Linked DNA regions of Oryzias latipes. The protein of the gene in region 1 purifies or fractionates together with the protein of each later gene. This does not show direct contact. Links are inferred from orthologs where the notes say so. Each region holds a gene or a part of one and is shown on either strand. Other genes may lie near its edges.

Region 1 (7,629 bases):
TAATCTTAGCTTAAAAATGTCAAACTTGACTTAGCATAACAGCAAATGAAAACATATAAGAAAACTGGAAAACATTTGCAAGAAACCAAACATGAGTTATGAGGGACAGATGATAGTCATCACTTGCTGTGCATTCATTTCTGGCAATTATTTGGTGAAAATATATGATCAAAAACTGCAACTAACCCTAATCCACTTGACATCTTACATTTGCACAATTTGTTTGTAAAGCATAAATAATCATGAATAAACTTATATTTTTAATCATTTGCTAATCTTAATAAATCACAAGTCAAAAACTAACTGAAAGTTAAATAAATATCAGATATTATACTTTTTTTTAATGCATATTCAATGGACTTTTAATACATATTCATAGCCAGAATACTATTTAAGTACATGCATTTAGTGTTGATTTTTTTAACATAAAACACCATCACAACCAAATAAATATACTTTAAATAAATGGTTAGCTACCTAATACTCATGTTCTAATAAACATTTAACCGTTTAAATTTACTAATAACGTTATAATTACTTTTTATATGGGAATTTTTACTACATAAAAAGTGTTTACTGGATTTCCTTAAGTTAAATCTGTAAGATTTCACTACTGTGGAGACAAACAGAAAGAAAAAACTCCAGCGAGGACAGCAAAATACTTGTTGTTACATGCGCAGAGAAAATATTACTAATGTCAGCCAAAGGCTTCCGCATAGCAAACATACCGAAGACGCTTTAGAAAGAAGTTAAAAGAGGGCCCTTTACCCAAATGAAATTTAAAAGCGGATGCTGCCAACACTTCCGCTAAACTAAGCTGTACTTCATCGAATAATCCTTTTTTGAAGCCTGCTACATAATAGTACCGAAAGACAGAGAATGTAAAGGTTATTTTACCACGAAAAGTTCGAGTTGAAGGTGATTTCATAGAAATACAGAGTTAGTGACGTTATTATCGTAATTTTCATCTTAACTTAAAGTTAAACCTATAATAGAGTAAACTATACGGAACTCATATGAAACAAAACAAAAACGAAATAGTTAAGTATAGGCTGGTTCAAAACTCGAAATTATCACTATTTTAAGAACTTAACACAGGTAAAATTAACTAAATTGAAATTAACTAACTGCCCAACACAGAAAAGGAAACGTAACACCTTAGGCATTTCTTTAACAAAAACGAGTCTCGTCATTACGAAAACATTATCTTCATATGAAACTGCTAATTATGAGTTACAACAGTTAAATTAAGTAAAAAATACCTTGATAAGAATTGTTTTTACTTCATCAACCCACCGTTTTTCTTCCGACAGGTTAGGCGTTGGTTACATCCGGGTTTGAAGGGTAATATATTCCTGGCGCATGCGCACATCACATGAGCACATGAGGAAGAGAAACCACTGGAGCCAGCTGATATACTGCCTCCTACTGGAGTAACAACTAAAATCTCAATAAGGTTTTGTCTGAGCTGTTTAAGAGCTGTTTATTGTTATGTTATCTACTTGAGCATCGGTAAAAGATGTGGTGCAGTAAAAAATTCTGTATTTAAAAAAAAGCTCTTTCATTTAAAAGAAAATATTTTTCAATTAAGATTTGGACATTTACTTTTTCTTTTTTTGTTAAGTAGCTTTTTTAAGTATTAGAAATAGTTTTGTTGTAACATGTTATTTTTCTTTAAATGTGCTACTACGTGAAGTAATAGCAGCACAATGGCTGTGTTGGCAGATAATTGCATAAAAAGGTCATTATCTGGATCATCCAGGACAGAGATTTTTGCCAGGAAGTGATATTTATATTTAGCGTTTACTGCAAGCTCACTATATGCTCCAAATTGCCTAAACCAAACTTCAAAGTGCTTAGTGGATGAAGATAAGGTTTTGAAATATCATTTTACAGATCACACATCTGCTGCTTGCAATGCTTATAAAACAGCAGGCATAATGCATGAAGACGTAAATAAGATTTTGTTTAATCCAAAAATTACTTATATTTTAAACCATTAAAAATAAATGTTTGAATTGTAAATGGAATTGGTCCATGCATACTCAAAATATTGGCATTTCAGTTGAAACCCAATATTTTGAACATAATTCTAAAGGATGAAAAAGAACATAAAAGGGTGATTTTCACTTTTTTAAATTTATTTTCAAAATTTCTTTAAGGATGTGTAGATGTCAGATTTCATATTTTTTTTAAATGTTGTTTATTTTCGCAATGCCATAGATTTTTGATGATTAAACATGTCCTCAGTTTATTACTCGGTACTGTTGTTCTTTTTTGTTTTTTTATTTGACTTTTTTTGACAGTCAGAATTTTACATTTGGTCTAGTAAATATTTGAAAGATCACGTTAAACGTCTTTTTTGTTTAGTTAACGGTAAAACTTTTGAGATAAAGCTACTTTTACTTGCATTCAGTTTTTGAACAATTAATCATTTGTCCTTAAACAAATATCACCCGTCAATGCAACTCTTCTTGGAAACTTTAAAAAAAAATACACATCATATTTCAAATTCAGTTAAATCACTACATATTTTAACAATGTTACAAGTACAAGTATTTTTACATAGTATTTTATATTGTCATTGCAAAATACTTTATTTTGAAAAACAGAAAGACAGGAAGTTGAAAGTGAGGATTGACGCTTCCTTGACAGCAGCGTTGCTTCCCCTTTGTCAGCGGACTGGCTTCCGTTCTAATGTTTGCTCCAGGTTTCTGGAATGTACTGTGCAGAGACTCTCATCCATAAGTTCTTGTGATTTGCTGTAGTTTCAGCTGTCTGGTTTTTGCCAGAGATCTAGTGGAAGATCCTGTTTTCCGTTGTGACTTGAGCGTGAGTCGGTTTCTGTAAATTAACGAGTTTTTACCTTGGCCGCTGGCTTGGTTCAGCCAGCTGAGTTAAATCACCTAGCATGTTTCGCTTCTTAAATGACGGGGATGACGAGCTCTTCATGATGTGAGTACCGACTTTTATCACGCTGTGTCACCCTTTTTATTTGTCTGTTTTGGAAGTTGTGTCTTAAAATGCTCATTATGAATGTCCCCGTGCCTTGAAGTAGCGACTTTTCGCCGTTCTAGCCAGCTGTGCAGGGGGCCTGCAGAGGTCCACCATATTGGAAACACAATAACAAGAAAGAAAAAACTGTCACTTTTATCTCTTGAAAGAATAGTAACGTATTCATCTATCTGAAGCGACACAAATCTCTGCCGTTAAGCTTATTTCATTTAATATTGTTCACACTTTTCTCGAATTTTCCAGACATTTCAGTTTCCGCATATTTAGAACGGTCCCCTTCGTTCAATGGAAAATGCAGGCTAATGGAATTTGCCAACAAAAACCCTCGCGCGTGTTAGACTTCGCTAACATTTACAAATTAAAAGCTTTTAAGGGTTTCTGAAAAATAAACATAATTTATTAGCTTAGGTAATGTAATGTTTGGTTGACATAAAATGCAGGATGAAAAAGGTTAATAAATGTATTTGAATACTATAAAATAAATCGTATGAACTTCAAATTACTCTGAGATCCTTTAATTTATTTTGTAATAATATTTTCTGTGGAAATTATATGGAAAATAATCCAAATGATAGTTATAGCATTATCAAATTTATTATTATTATTATCTAGAGGAACTTTTTGGTTGGCATATAACAATCCTTCTTTGAAGGAGCTGTTGGACTGCTTAATAAAACGTGTAGGTGTTTTGTTTTTGGCTTTTTTTTTTTTTGTCATACTTCTCACACTACCCCCTTCACTCAAAAGTAGTCACAAAATTTTGCAGGTGTTGTTTTCATTTACCAACACAAATTTTAGCTTTATGCTTGTATTAAAAATAAAATAAAAAAAAGACTGGTGAATTGATTTGAGAACAATGACACAAGTGTTTCCCTTATTTAGACTTAAATGATATATTTTAGACTTATAATTCACCTTTTATTTTGCAGGGATCCCTTTGCAGCTCACAGGCAGCAGCTGAGTATGATGACCCCATTTGCCATGGACCCGTTTGCTCTGGTTCCCCAGATGCACCCACACCGTGTGGCACGCAGACAGGTGACAGACCGCCTTGCGGATAAATTTAGAATATATTTTTACGTCTACCTATTATATTCTTTTGATTAGTATGATCTGCTTAAACTGCTAGTTTTATTGTTTTTGTTTTAGGCTGGCCCTCTGGCTCCCTTTGGCATGATGGGAATGGTGAGTTTTGAACTTCAGTAAATCCATCAGTGGACAATTTTTTTTGTCTAAAAACAGATAAGGCAACTCTTGTCAAAACATTAGAGCCTTTTTCTTCTCTGCTATAGTTTAAAGTTGATTTCAAAATTTCTCTTTTGTTTATTTGTTTTTCTGGATATAATGGGGCCATTTGAAGACATTTTTCCCTTTGAGAAAAGATGTCATTGTTTTTAAATAGAGCAACATAAAACATCCCATTTCCACCTGGTATTTTCAGGTTCTGTTATATTCGTATTAATAAGAGGAAGAGGTAGGAGTGCTGGATTAAAGCAGATCTCAACATCAGCCAATGTCTTACTGTTTGCAGGGAGGAGGATTCATGGATATGTTTGGCATGATGGGAGAAATGATGGGAAACATGGTAAGTCGTTTTTGAACCACGTCCAATAAAATAAATAAAAAGAGTATAGTATATAAATAGTAGGGGCGTTCGGTAAGAATCTGGCGATATGATACATATCCAGATACACGCCCTACAATACGATACATATCGCAGTATTGTACCGGAACACATTTTCTTTCCTTTTTTTTTTTTAAGTGTGACTTCATTTAATTATCACAATGTTAAGCACTGCAATTGTATCTCATTTACAAGGTGCTTTTACCCAAGCAAATTCATAGTGCTTTTATTTTGGTAACTTAAAATATATTTGTTCTTAAAGGGAACAGTCAACATTGTCTGCTTTTTACAACAAATATTTTTCAGTGTAAGAAAAAAAAATAGAAAGACTGTGCCTTAACCCAACAGGGTTCTAAAAGTATGATTGAGGAAATAAACTGCTGTTTATTCAAAATATTTCTTAATGTAGCTTCTCCAGAACTTTTAAACGGTTCAGGAGCCTGAATGGTGCTTCAAAACTAAATGAGAAAAAAAACCAAACACCAATTTTTTCCAGAAACATTAAGTGTGATGAGGCAGCATGACAGGTTGAAGGAAAGTTGCTTTAATGTGGCTAAGATGCTTTATTTACATTACAGTCTGCACTGGAGCTGCAGTTCTGTTTTCTCACACGAAGTATGAGAAGTAAACATGTATTTCACCGCTTATCAGAGCGTGGTACACATCACTCTGATCCATCGGGTCGCTGAACTAAAATCTATTGCTGTGAGGTTCCGCAGAACCTCGGCCCGCTTTGCCGATAGCATTTTGGCTGGTGCTCCATGCATGAGCTGCTGTGCAGCTGCACTTCTTCACTCGTTCTTATCTGAGCTACAAAGCACCGCAATCCACAATATTGTATGATATTGGCAGCAACATGGCACAGATTTTCTGTTCAGTACCTATAGCAAGTAAAAACTATGGAGTGCATGTCTCGTAACAACAAAACTAGCTGCATCTTGCTGAGATCTTGTAGTTGTTTTGTGCGGTGTAGAGCTGCTCAAAGAGGCTCATCCTGCTGGCGGTGCTGCCAGCTAGTGGTCGGATGTTTAAGTAGAAAACAAAAGTCCAGACGCCAAAGATTGCTCATAAAAATTAAATATCGTCCTGACAGCATTTAAATCCATACAACTATTGTCAAATGAATATCGCAATGTATTGCCCAATCGATTTATTTTTTCTATTCTTTTTTTTCTCCTACACCCCTAATAAATAGGATTCAGTCTCACCTTGTATTTATTTATTTTGTTTTCTTCCAGGAAAGGATGTCTGGCTCACCAAACTGCCAGACATTTTCCTCTTCGACAGTGATTTCTTATTCGTCTTTAGACGCAGGAGCTCCTAAAGTTTATCAGCAAACCAGTGAAACCAGAACTGGCCCTGGAGGGGTAATGATGCGTTTACAGCTGTTGGAGTGTTAACATTTTAGATGAAATGAGGAGTTGGCCACAGATAGTGTTGTAAATAATAACATGATTGGCTTTTCTTCTCTATTTGCACATGAATATATTTATAGGTGTAACAGCAGTAAATATGTTGCGTATAATCTTACTATTAGAGGTTTATACTGAAGTATTGTTTATCTGTAAAAACATTAAACGTGTCCGTTGATCTGACCCTCAGATCCGTGAAACCATGCAGTCAGTGAGGGACAGTGAGAGCGGCCTCGAGCGCCTCGCCATCGGTCACCACATTGGGGAACGTGCACACATAGTAGAGCGTTCGCGAAATCGCCGCACTGGAGACCGCGAGGAACGGCAAGACTTTATTAACCTTGATGAGAGTAAGTTGATCTCCAAGTCTCACAGTCTCATCATGTTTTTGGATATAAAAAATTCGCATTTAAGATGCCCATGATGTCATCTAATCACCAAAAATATCTGTGCTTCAATCTTGCTAGGTGAGGCTGAAGCTTTTGATGTGGAATGGAGGAGGGGGACAGGACGATACGCCTCTCCAGGTGCACGTGCAATTGACTATGGTCAAGATCGGCGTGCAGGAGGACAGCAGCTGGCTCTTACTGCGCCTCCCAGTTCAACGTCCCCCCCAGGTCATCGACATGAGTCCCCCAGACACCGCCAGCCCCAAACCCGACCCCGCTATGACTGGTGAGATGGTAAGTTGAACGTAGCACTTTGAGTTGTCTCTATGGGAAGTGTTTTTATTGTAGACACACACACTAAAAATCCTTTTTAAGTTTTTACATTTTTTTAGATTAATGCATAAAGTATCTTTTTCTTGATTCAAGTGCGTTTTTGGTTTTTGCCATTTTAAATAACCACACAATTAAATGTAATTAAATTGTGACATTAGAATCAAAGTTTCTTCTTCATAATTAGTTTCCTTTTTCATAACAAATCTCAAATTCTCCACAGTAACAAGGGAAATAAATCAGGCTTTTATTACCTTTCAGTATTTTATGTTTCCTTTTTTCAGTTGTAGGAAACAGCAAGTAAACTATGGAGTCCTATACTGTTCATAATTAAATAAATAAATATTTAATTCAATAAATAAATATGACGTCATGCAAATACACAATCAACCAATAAATCTCTCATAAATATATAAAAAGATCATGAAATTGTGAAAAACCTGCACACTGATTTTAAATTAGCCATTGTATTATTCAATATATTTCATTTTGCTTTAAAAACATGTTCATTATTTTAAAACAGCATTTTAAAAATATTCATTTTAATCATGTGGAATATATTATAATTTTACGTCTTTTTTCAGAACCTCGGATTTCAAAATCAATATTTTCCAAAGTAGCTTTTATTTTTATTTAATGTTGCTGTTTTTCACAATGGCTGATTTATTTCATGAAGAGCTTTTTCAGGAGAATGGGTCTGTCTGTCAATCAAACTAGACAAGGCGGAGACAATTTTGTGATTGGCTATTCCTTTACCCAGACATGAGCAGCAGCACCCTAACTCCCCTGTCTACATCGATCGAAGATGCTTCAGCAAACGTGACGGCGCAATGCACACTCCTCGACACTAGGGGGAGTA
Region 2 (7,582 bases), on another chromosome or scaffold:
CTCTTGAATTCTTCTTGTGTGTGTTTTTTATGGCTAACTCTTCCTGGATTATAATCTGAATCTTAAAATCTGAAACCCCCTTTAGGAGTAAGTTTGTGTCAGTGAAAAACCTTTTTCCTGGATTTCCTCTTGTAAATGTAAAATTTTATCAGCAGAACAACAAAAGCCCTTTTGCAAACTGCCTACATTTATGTACTAAATAAAAAGTAAGGCTCTTTTATCAACATTTCTTTCTAAGTACAACACATATTGAACTTTTTACATCTTATGTGTTAAGAAATCCAGTTATTTATTAAAAATACTGTGATGACTGCATTTGCACCGTCTTGATAGGAAGATTCATCTGCGTGGGAGTGACATTTTTACAGTTTTTCTTTGTATTATGGGGAGTTTTGAGGTGTTGTTTTCTTGGAGTCATATTAACACTAAAGCAAGCACAATTGTTATTTTTTTGACAAAATAATTCAGTCCATTTCTTTAATGCATCTAAATAAGCCCGTTTCATGTCCTGCATACATAATCACATTTGGCATAATTGCACATTTAGATAGATCACTAAAGACAATGTTTTTTTATATTTTTACAGTTTTTTATTTGATTTTCTGCTTTAGAGCAGAGCTATTCCTAAAGATGGACAAAAGCAGTGAAGACTCCAGCCCTAAAGCTGCAACTGTTTGGTTCTGGTTGTCTGAAAAGTAATGCATATACTGGCTGGATAACATAATGGACAACACTTACTATTGATTAAAATACTATTATGTGCTGCACTGTAACCCTTGTGCTATCCTATGACCCCACCCTTACTTTGATGAGTTCTCCCTACCATGATAAAGGTGGAGAGGATTTTATGTGATTCATGGACAACAGTGAAGATCACAAATCATTGAAGAAAAACGGTTCAGTGCACTGTCTAGTGGGGTCTAGATGACCCCACTCCCAATTTTAAAGTGCCTAGGATAGCACAAGGGTTAAAGACACTCCGTTCTCCCACTCTGAGTGCTGCATCCTAAATCATTCAAAGTATTCTTGCTTTATCATCTCGGCTGTGTGAACATCCGGAGCAGGATGTTCTTCCTCTGCTACAAAGTTCTCGGGTAATGACAGCATATTTTCCTGTTTTCTAAATATTCTGAGGTTTCTCACAAGTTTGGTTCGCTTTAGTTAAAAGGGTGTGGCATCTGTGTTTCCATTAGCAAATGTGACATTTGATCTGTTGGACCAAACAACACAGGAAGCTGGGGCTGCTGGACCCAGCTACTATTGGGTGATGGTAGGGTACACCCTGAACAGGTCACCAGTCTGTTCCAGGGTCACACAACCACACACACTCACATGCACACCAGGGGGCAATTTAGACAGGCCATTTAACCTTTGAGCATGTTGTTGGACCCACACATGCACCAGGAGTACATGCAAAGTCCACACAGAAAGGACCCAGGCAAGATTTAAACCACCCATTGTGACAGCACTAACCACTGTGCCACCACATAGCTCCTATTTCTCATAACAAGCTGGGTAGCTCAGTTGGTAAGGTAGAAGGCTGCCATGCAGGAGGGGAATAAACAATGATACATAAATATAAACAATGGCGAGCAATTACCATGACTCAGTGGGGGTCCTTGGGCAAGACCCTTGACGCTACTGCCTACCAGCATGAATGTGCATGAATGATCCCGGTGATGGTCAGAAAGCCCTGCATACTAGCAGCCACACCTCTACCATGAATGAAGAGTGAATGAATAATGGACACAACGGAAGCGCTTTGAGGGTCTGGAAAAGCGCACATAAATCCAATCCATTATTATTTATAATTCTGTTCTAAATAATATTAAATTAATCAAACTGATTTACTTTAACATATTTCAAAATTGCTACAGAACCTTCTTTTCTTTTTGAATGCTTTTGTCCCATCATCACAATTTTTTTTAAGTTTCATATTTTCCTTGTGCTACTACATACATGATGGTGAAACAACTTTTAATATTTTCTCCCAATTGTAAGCATTGACTTGTGCAATTTTATGAACTGTACATGTGCTTTTAGGTTCTTATCAAACCAAATGACAAAATAAAGGAGGATTCCCCATTTGTGAAAACAAGAAACTGCATATTCAGAGGCTTCTCACAGTTTTTATTGACTTTCTTTCTTTGTGTTTCATAAAAATGTAACAAAAAAAAAAACAGCAGAAGATGAAGGCGTACAGAGTTTGTGTCAAAAATCCTTTCAACTAAAACTGTAAGACAAATAAAAAGTCTTTCTACAACTGAGATAAATTCCACGAACTTCCTGTCAGGTGGTTTCATTTGACATGTTTGTAATTTTATTTTCAACGTTAACGATCACAGTATTGGTAAAATACTGGTTGTTGCATTGTCAATCACCTCATATGTCAGAGCACTGAATTGCTGCAAAATGTGCTCAAAATTATATATTGTCTTCAAAAGGTTGAACTTCAATCTGTGATGCATCTGTATTTGTTCTTTCTTGGGCTTATTGATGAACATACATTGTGAACTGTGTGCCCTTTAGCTATGTCGGTGTAGTAAAATTTAAAGTAAAAATTGACCTTTTTACAAAAAAAATGTGTACCAGTGTACTTTTCAGGGTTGGTTACAATGCATGGATCCCTAAGAGTCATGCTTGTGCAGCTCTCCTTTGTGAGGTAAAGTGGAATTCAAAAACACCCTTCATGCTTTGGTGATGATTATTAACTACTGCAGTTGGTTTTTGCACTCTCCAGTTTTTGATGATCCATAATTTTGATGTTCTTTTCAGCGTTTTCCACATTCCTCACCAGCGTCTCCAGCCTCTGTTTGATCTTCTTCTGGTCCTCCAAAGAGCAGCTGATCACCACAACCTGGAACTTCTGATCGATGGGGACAGGCGGTGCTTCGGTCACGCAGGCGGCGTGCAGCGCCATCAGCTGCTGCCGACCGCCTTCCATGTCGACCAGCAACTTTTTTACGATTTCGTCAATCATGGATGTGGCTTTCCGCAGGGCCTCCTCCTGCTGGGGGTTTCTAATGGTGCCAACGGAGATCTCCACCGTCAGAGTCCGGCCCATCAGACGGTTCGCAGTTAAGCTCAACTCTTCCCTTTCTCCTGCAGAAGAAAAGGAAATTAGAGCTTTAATTTGTCATAAAAAATATTATTATTAACCTGTTTTTGACTCATTTCATTTATTTTGATGTATTTTATGTTAATAAATCGTCTTTTGATCTATTTCCAAAGTGTTCCGAGTGGTTTTGTAATTATAGTTATACCATTTTTAGCCCAAATAAAAAAATCCTGTGTCATTTTCTAGGACATAATTTCTGCAGAGCGGCAGGAATTCATTAGAAATCTGCCTCTAAGTTGTAGGTGGGGCCGTAGGCGTGGAGTAAGCCCACCCTTGCTTCCGGACATCTATGTGTTTAAACGCTCTCCTGCAAATTTACAGCCCTTTATAACCCCAACGTAACATTACTGATGCAACTCAAATGGCCTGCAAGAATGGAGATATCCATCCGTCCAGCTTTGAGCCGGAAGCCAACTCGGATGAGGAAAACAAAAGACCTACATGGATCTATTTGTCCGCAAGTGGATGCATCAGAATGGAGCAGAGAAGAGCAGGACGTTTGTGGTCTGCTGTATTAGCTTCTACGTCAAACCTACAAGCTTTTTCAAATGGCATTTTTGCTTTTGCAATTTGAATAAAGAAATACACCGAAATGGAAATATGAGCTGAATTTTCTTTCTATATGTCCTGCATTTTGAGAAAAACACCACAACAACATGTTAAAAACACCAAAAACACAATTTTCCTGAGTGGGTCTTTAAGATTTGATATAGGGGCAGAAATATAACAAGAATTTCATTTTTTTTGTTCCTTTCTATTCATGAAAATGTGTGGACTTATGTTGAATATGTAAATATAATATGGTACCATGAAAAGAACAGAATTTTTCTTTCTACTTATACCATGAAAAAAAGTTTATATCTTGTAGTAAACTTGCTATGTTGGACTCAGAAGTATAGTGTGTTCCTTTTAGAGGGTTTAATAGAAAGACACAGAGGTGAAATGGGACCTCTATGGGTGAGACATGTGATGCATTTTGGGTGGAGCACATTGTTCTTTTCAGTTTCTTGACCATCACGCAAAGTTTTCCTTTTATCACCACAGGATCAAAGTAGCAAAAAACAGGAATTAAGATTACTGGAAAGTTAAGCCACTCTTCACTGGTATTAAGCAGCGGATGACTTGTGCTCTTATGTAAGTTGTGGGAGAGAATTAGCAGCCTCACCCGCACAGATGTTACGCATTTCTTGACTGTTCTGGATGGATTGAATCATTTCCAGGATGCCTTCTCTTTCCTGCTCCAGGGCGGATGCTGTTTCTCTTAAAGCCTCCACCCTGACAAAAACAAACATCCGTCAAAAAAAAACAGCTTTTCTTTTTCCTTCCAATCACGTTCAGTTGTTAAAGTTACGCCACAGTGTCAAACGAACGAGAGCACCTCCAAAGAAGACGCGCATGGCGAGGCCCGTTATTGTACCTGATTTCCAGCTGATCCAGAGTTTCCAGCAGTCTTCCGGAGCGATCAGCCATGGACAGTGTCCTGCTGAACTTGCTGCAGACCGCTTCGTTCATCTTCGCCTGGATTTTCGCCTGAGCCATAATAATTAGTGCTGCAGTGCCGAGTTTCTGTAGTCCGATCAGTCAATCCAAAGAGTGAGCGGCGCTTTAAGCTCTCCGCCTGACCAGTAATTCCTCAGGCTACAGGCAGCAGCGCCCCTGGGACAACATTTCCTAACATGGGCTTCAGCTTCCTCCTCTTCCTCCTCCTCACAGAAACTTCCCGAGGAACCCAGAGAGGAGGCTCCAACCCAGACAGGGGGCTCCAACAGGGGGCTCTGAGTGAGGAGCGCTTTAGCTTTAAAATGCTTTATTTGAATTTCCATAAAACAACAGATTTTATTTTACACAAGATTTTATATCTGGGAGATAAAAGGGAACAGGGGGAGAGAAAGCTTATTTTTTCTGGAACTTTTATATAATTAGGAGGCAAAAAAACAATTGTCATAAATTGATTAGAAAATAAAAATAAACTAAAAGACGAATACATCAAGTAAATATAAAATAATAGTATTGTCCAATAACTGTTTTCTGCATGATTTGAATAATATTTTTGCAGAGTTCATACAGGTTTGTTAAACATGACATTTGCAACTCTCATCAATTTGTACAAGTGGCACTTTTTCATCATTTTAGTTAAAAGAAAAAAGCAAAGACACAATGTAACAAAACCACCTTTAGGGGGCGCTGATGAGGTGACAGGTGCTTGTTACCATTATCTCTATTGCTTCAAGCCACAAAGATAGATTCCATCTATTTTACCAACCAACAGGTCTCCAAACTGTTTTTTTTTTCTGTTCTCCGAACAAAATAATCAAATGTAACATTCAATGACCAAACGTCATGCTCCGTTATTATATCTTTATTAAAGAAAAATATTTTCACAGAGAGTACTTTTTAGGAAAACCGTTCTGTCCCTGTTATTCACTCACACTTTTACACAAAAAACCTTTTTCTTTAAGTTGAACTCATGTAATGATGTTTCATACAAACTTTTCTGTAGAAAAAATACAATTTCTGCTCATTCATTTCTGACGTCTGAGCAGCCGGTAAAGAGAATCCTCACGTCTGTAGTGAAACCAGAGAGGTGGAGGAGCGGTTGGTCTGCGGTCACGAGGTCAGCCCAGGCATCTAGCTGTGTCACCACAATCCTGTGTGTGTGTGTGTGTGTGTGTGTGTGAACACGTGACACATAGCTTCAATGTTTAGAACGTCTGACTTTTTATAAACCCTCAGCTTCTAACTAGCTTTAAAACCCACTGTCTGCCCCAAGAACTGCTGACTTTGGCTGCTAAAGGAAGTAAATCAATTCAAATAATTCATGACTTTTATTTATAACTTCTGAAAACAATGACCTTGAGTAAAAAAGGTCAACGTGACAGGTGAACAACAGGAACTACTTCATTTAGAAAGCACTTAGAACTCCACAAGACTTCTCTGAAGAGCTTCCTCCAACTCTGCGGGAAAGAAAAACAAGAAAAAAAAAAAAGTTGAAAATGACACTCCATTATAAAACAACATAAAAACAGCAGAGGCCATTTTAAAGACCCACTCCGATCATCTTTGAAGCTATTTTCAAAGTGATCTTTTAATCCCGTTTATGCTGCTTTTAGTCAAAATACAAAAAAAGCCTGTGTTGTTTTTCTTAGGACATAGTTTCTGCAGAGCTGAATTGTGGGCGGGACCACTGGCACGGAGCAACTCCGCCCCCTTTCCCTTTCGGAGCGCTAGAAGCAGGGAGCTTGTGGGCCGCCCAGTGCAGTTTCAACAACACAAATATGACTTTTTATTTTTTTACAAATGCAAATTTGAGCTTAATTTTCTTAATATGCGTTTCCATCATTAGAAGACATGTTGGAAAAAAAACATTTTCATTGTAGTAGGTCTTAACATTCAAATCTTTTTGACATGTTGGCTCATTTTACAAAAACAATGATCTATAAAAAATACCAATCTCTAAACTTTTTACATTTTAAAATATACAGTTTGTACTAAACTAATAATTACTGCTTTTTTATTATAGCTTTTGAAAAAAAGGTTGTTTTTTTTTTTGTTGTGAAAACAGACCTGCTGACTCTCTGGCTTCTTCTGCACTTACAGGCAGAGCGTGTTTCATCTCATCATCAGAGGTCTCTGCAACAGACAACAAAACTGATTTTTTAATCGGATCAAACATATGGTTTTTCAAACTGATAGAATTACTTCAACTCCGTCATGTTTATTCATGACACGTTACTGTAAATGTTTACCCATGGCAGTTTCATCTCTTTCGTTGTTGATCTGATCGTCTTTCAGAAACTTCCCCAGAGTTTCATCCTGGATCTCTGTGAATCATGAAAAACTGGAATCAAAAGTGCTGCAGTCTCCAAACACAAACGCTAAAGTCAGCCTCCTTTGGTGAACTTACGGCGTTTGTGTGCTTTGACCTCCACACGAGTGGGCTCTGCCTCTGAGCTCTTCCTGGAGCTCCTGCAGGGCTCTAGCGTGCAGTGACAGTGATGATAGTGTTTATGGAAACCTGGAACACCCATATAACTCTGGTGACACATGTTGCATTGTACTTCAAATGTCTTGTCCAGGTTCAGGCTGGGGTGCTTTGTGTGCACGTGAGTCTTGATCTGCGCGTACGTTGGCACGGACACGCTGCAGGGAGGACACACGTACTGGCATTTCCCCTCTGCAGCCAACTCTTTCATGCATCTGGTATAAACCCCCGTCACTGTTTCCTTGTTGCCTTCTGAAGACATGCAGGGACAGTCCAGAGGAAGCATCGCAGCAGCCGGTTGGAGAACGTCGGCGTCGTCCATGCAGCAGTAATCCCTGCTGTGAAGGCTCCGGTAATGCTCCAGGAGCTCGGCCTCAGAATCCATCTGCATGCTGTCGCAGAGGCCGCAAAAGTACCAACTCTTTATGTCCCCGCCGTGCTCGTTCGTGCAGTGTCTTCTCACGGTGGACTCCTTGAAGAAC

What was found. The genes of interacting proteins can lie anywhere in the genome.
Region 2: the proteins of mlf2 (region 1) and bag2 purify together in Homo sapiens (affinity purification with mass spectrometry; 4 studies listed by BioGRID and IntAct, with this or other methods). This does not show direct contact. The link is inferred for Oryzias latipes from reciprocal best matches to the Homo sapiens genes MLF2 and BAG2.

Annotation. Positions count from the first base shown.
Region 1 is NC_019874.2:20,418,228-20,425,856, forward strand, and holds the start of mlf2 (myeloid leukemia factor 2), read left to right. Parts: upstream 1-2,639; 5' UTR 2,640-2,911; coding exon 2,912-2,955; intron 2,956-3,944; coding exon 3,945-4,053; intron 4,054-4,164; coding exon 4,165-4,200; intron 4,201-4,546; coding exon 4,547-4,600; intron 4,601-5,877; coding exon 5,878-6,006; intron 6,007-6,241; coding exon 6,242-6,401; intron 6,402-6,518; coding exon 6,519-6,730; 3' UTR 6,731-6,734; intron 6,735-7,054; exon of another isoform or gene 7,055-7,069; intron 7,070-7,629.
Region 2 is NC_019873.2:24,429,147-24,436,728, reverse strand, and holds bag2 (BAG family molecular chaperone regulator 2), read right to left. Parts: upstream 4,812-7,582; 5' UTR 4,658-4,811; coding exon 4,536-4,657; intron 4,394-4,535; coding exon 4,284-4,393; intron 3,103-4,283; coding exon 2,708-3,102; 3' UTR 2,114-2,707; downstream 1-2,113. Other genes in the region: E3 SUMO-protein ligase ZNF451, read right to left, coding at 6,032-6,072, 6,683-6,748, 6,865-6,939, 7,023-7,582. UniProt on the Homo sapiens protein: Co-chaperone for HSP70 and HSC70 chaperone proteins. Acts as a nucleotide-exchange factor (NEF) promoting the release of ADP from the HSP70 and HSC70 proteins thereby triggering client/substrate protein release.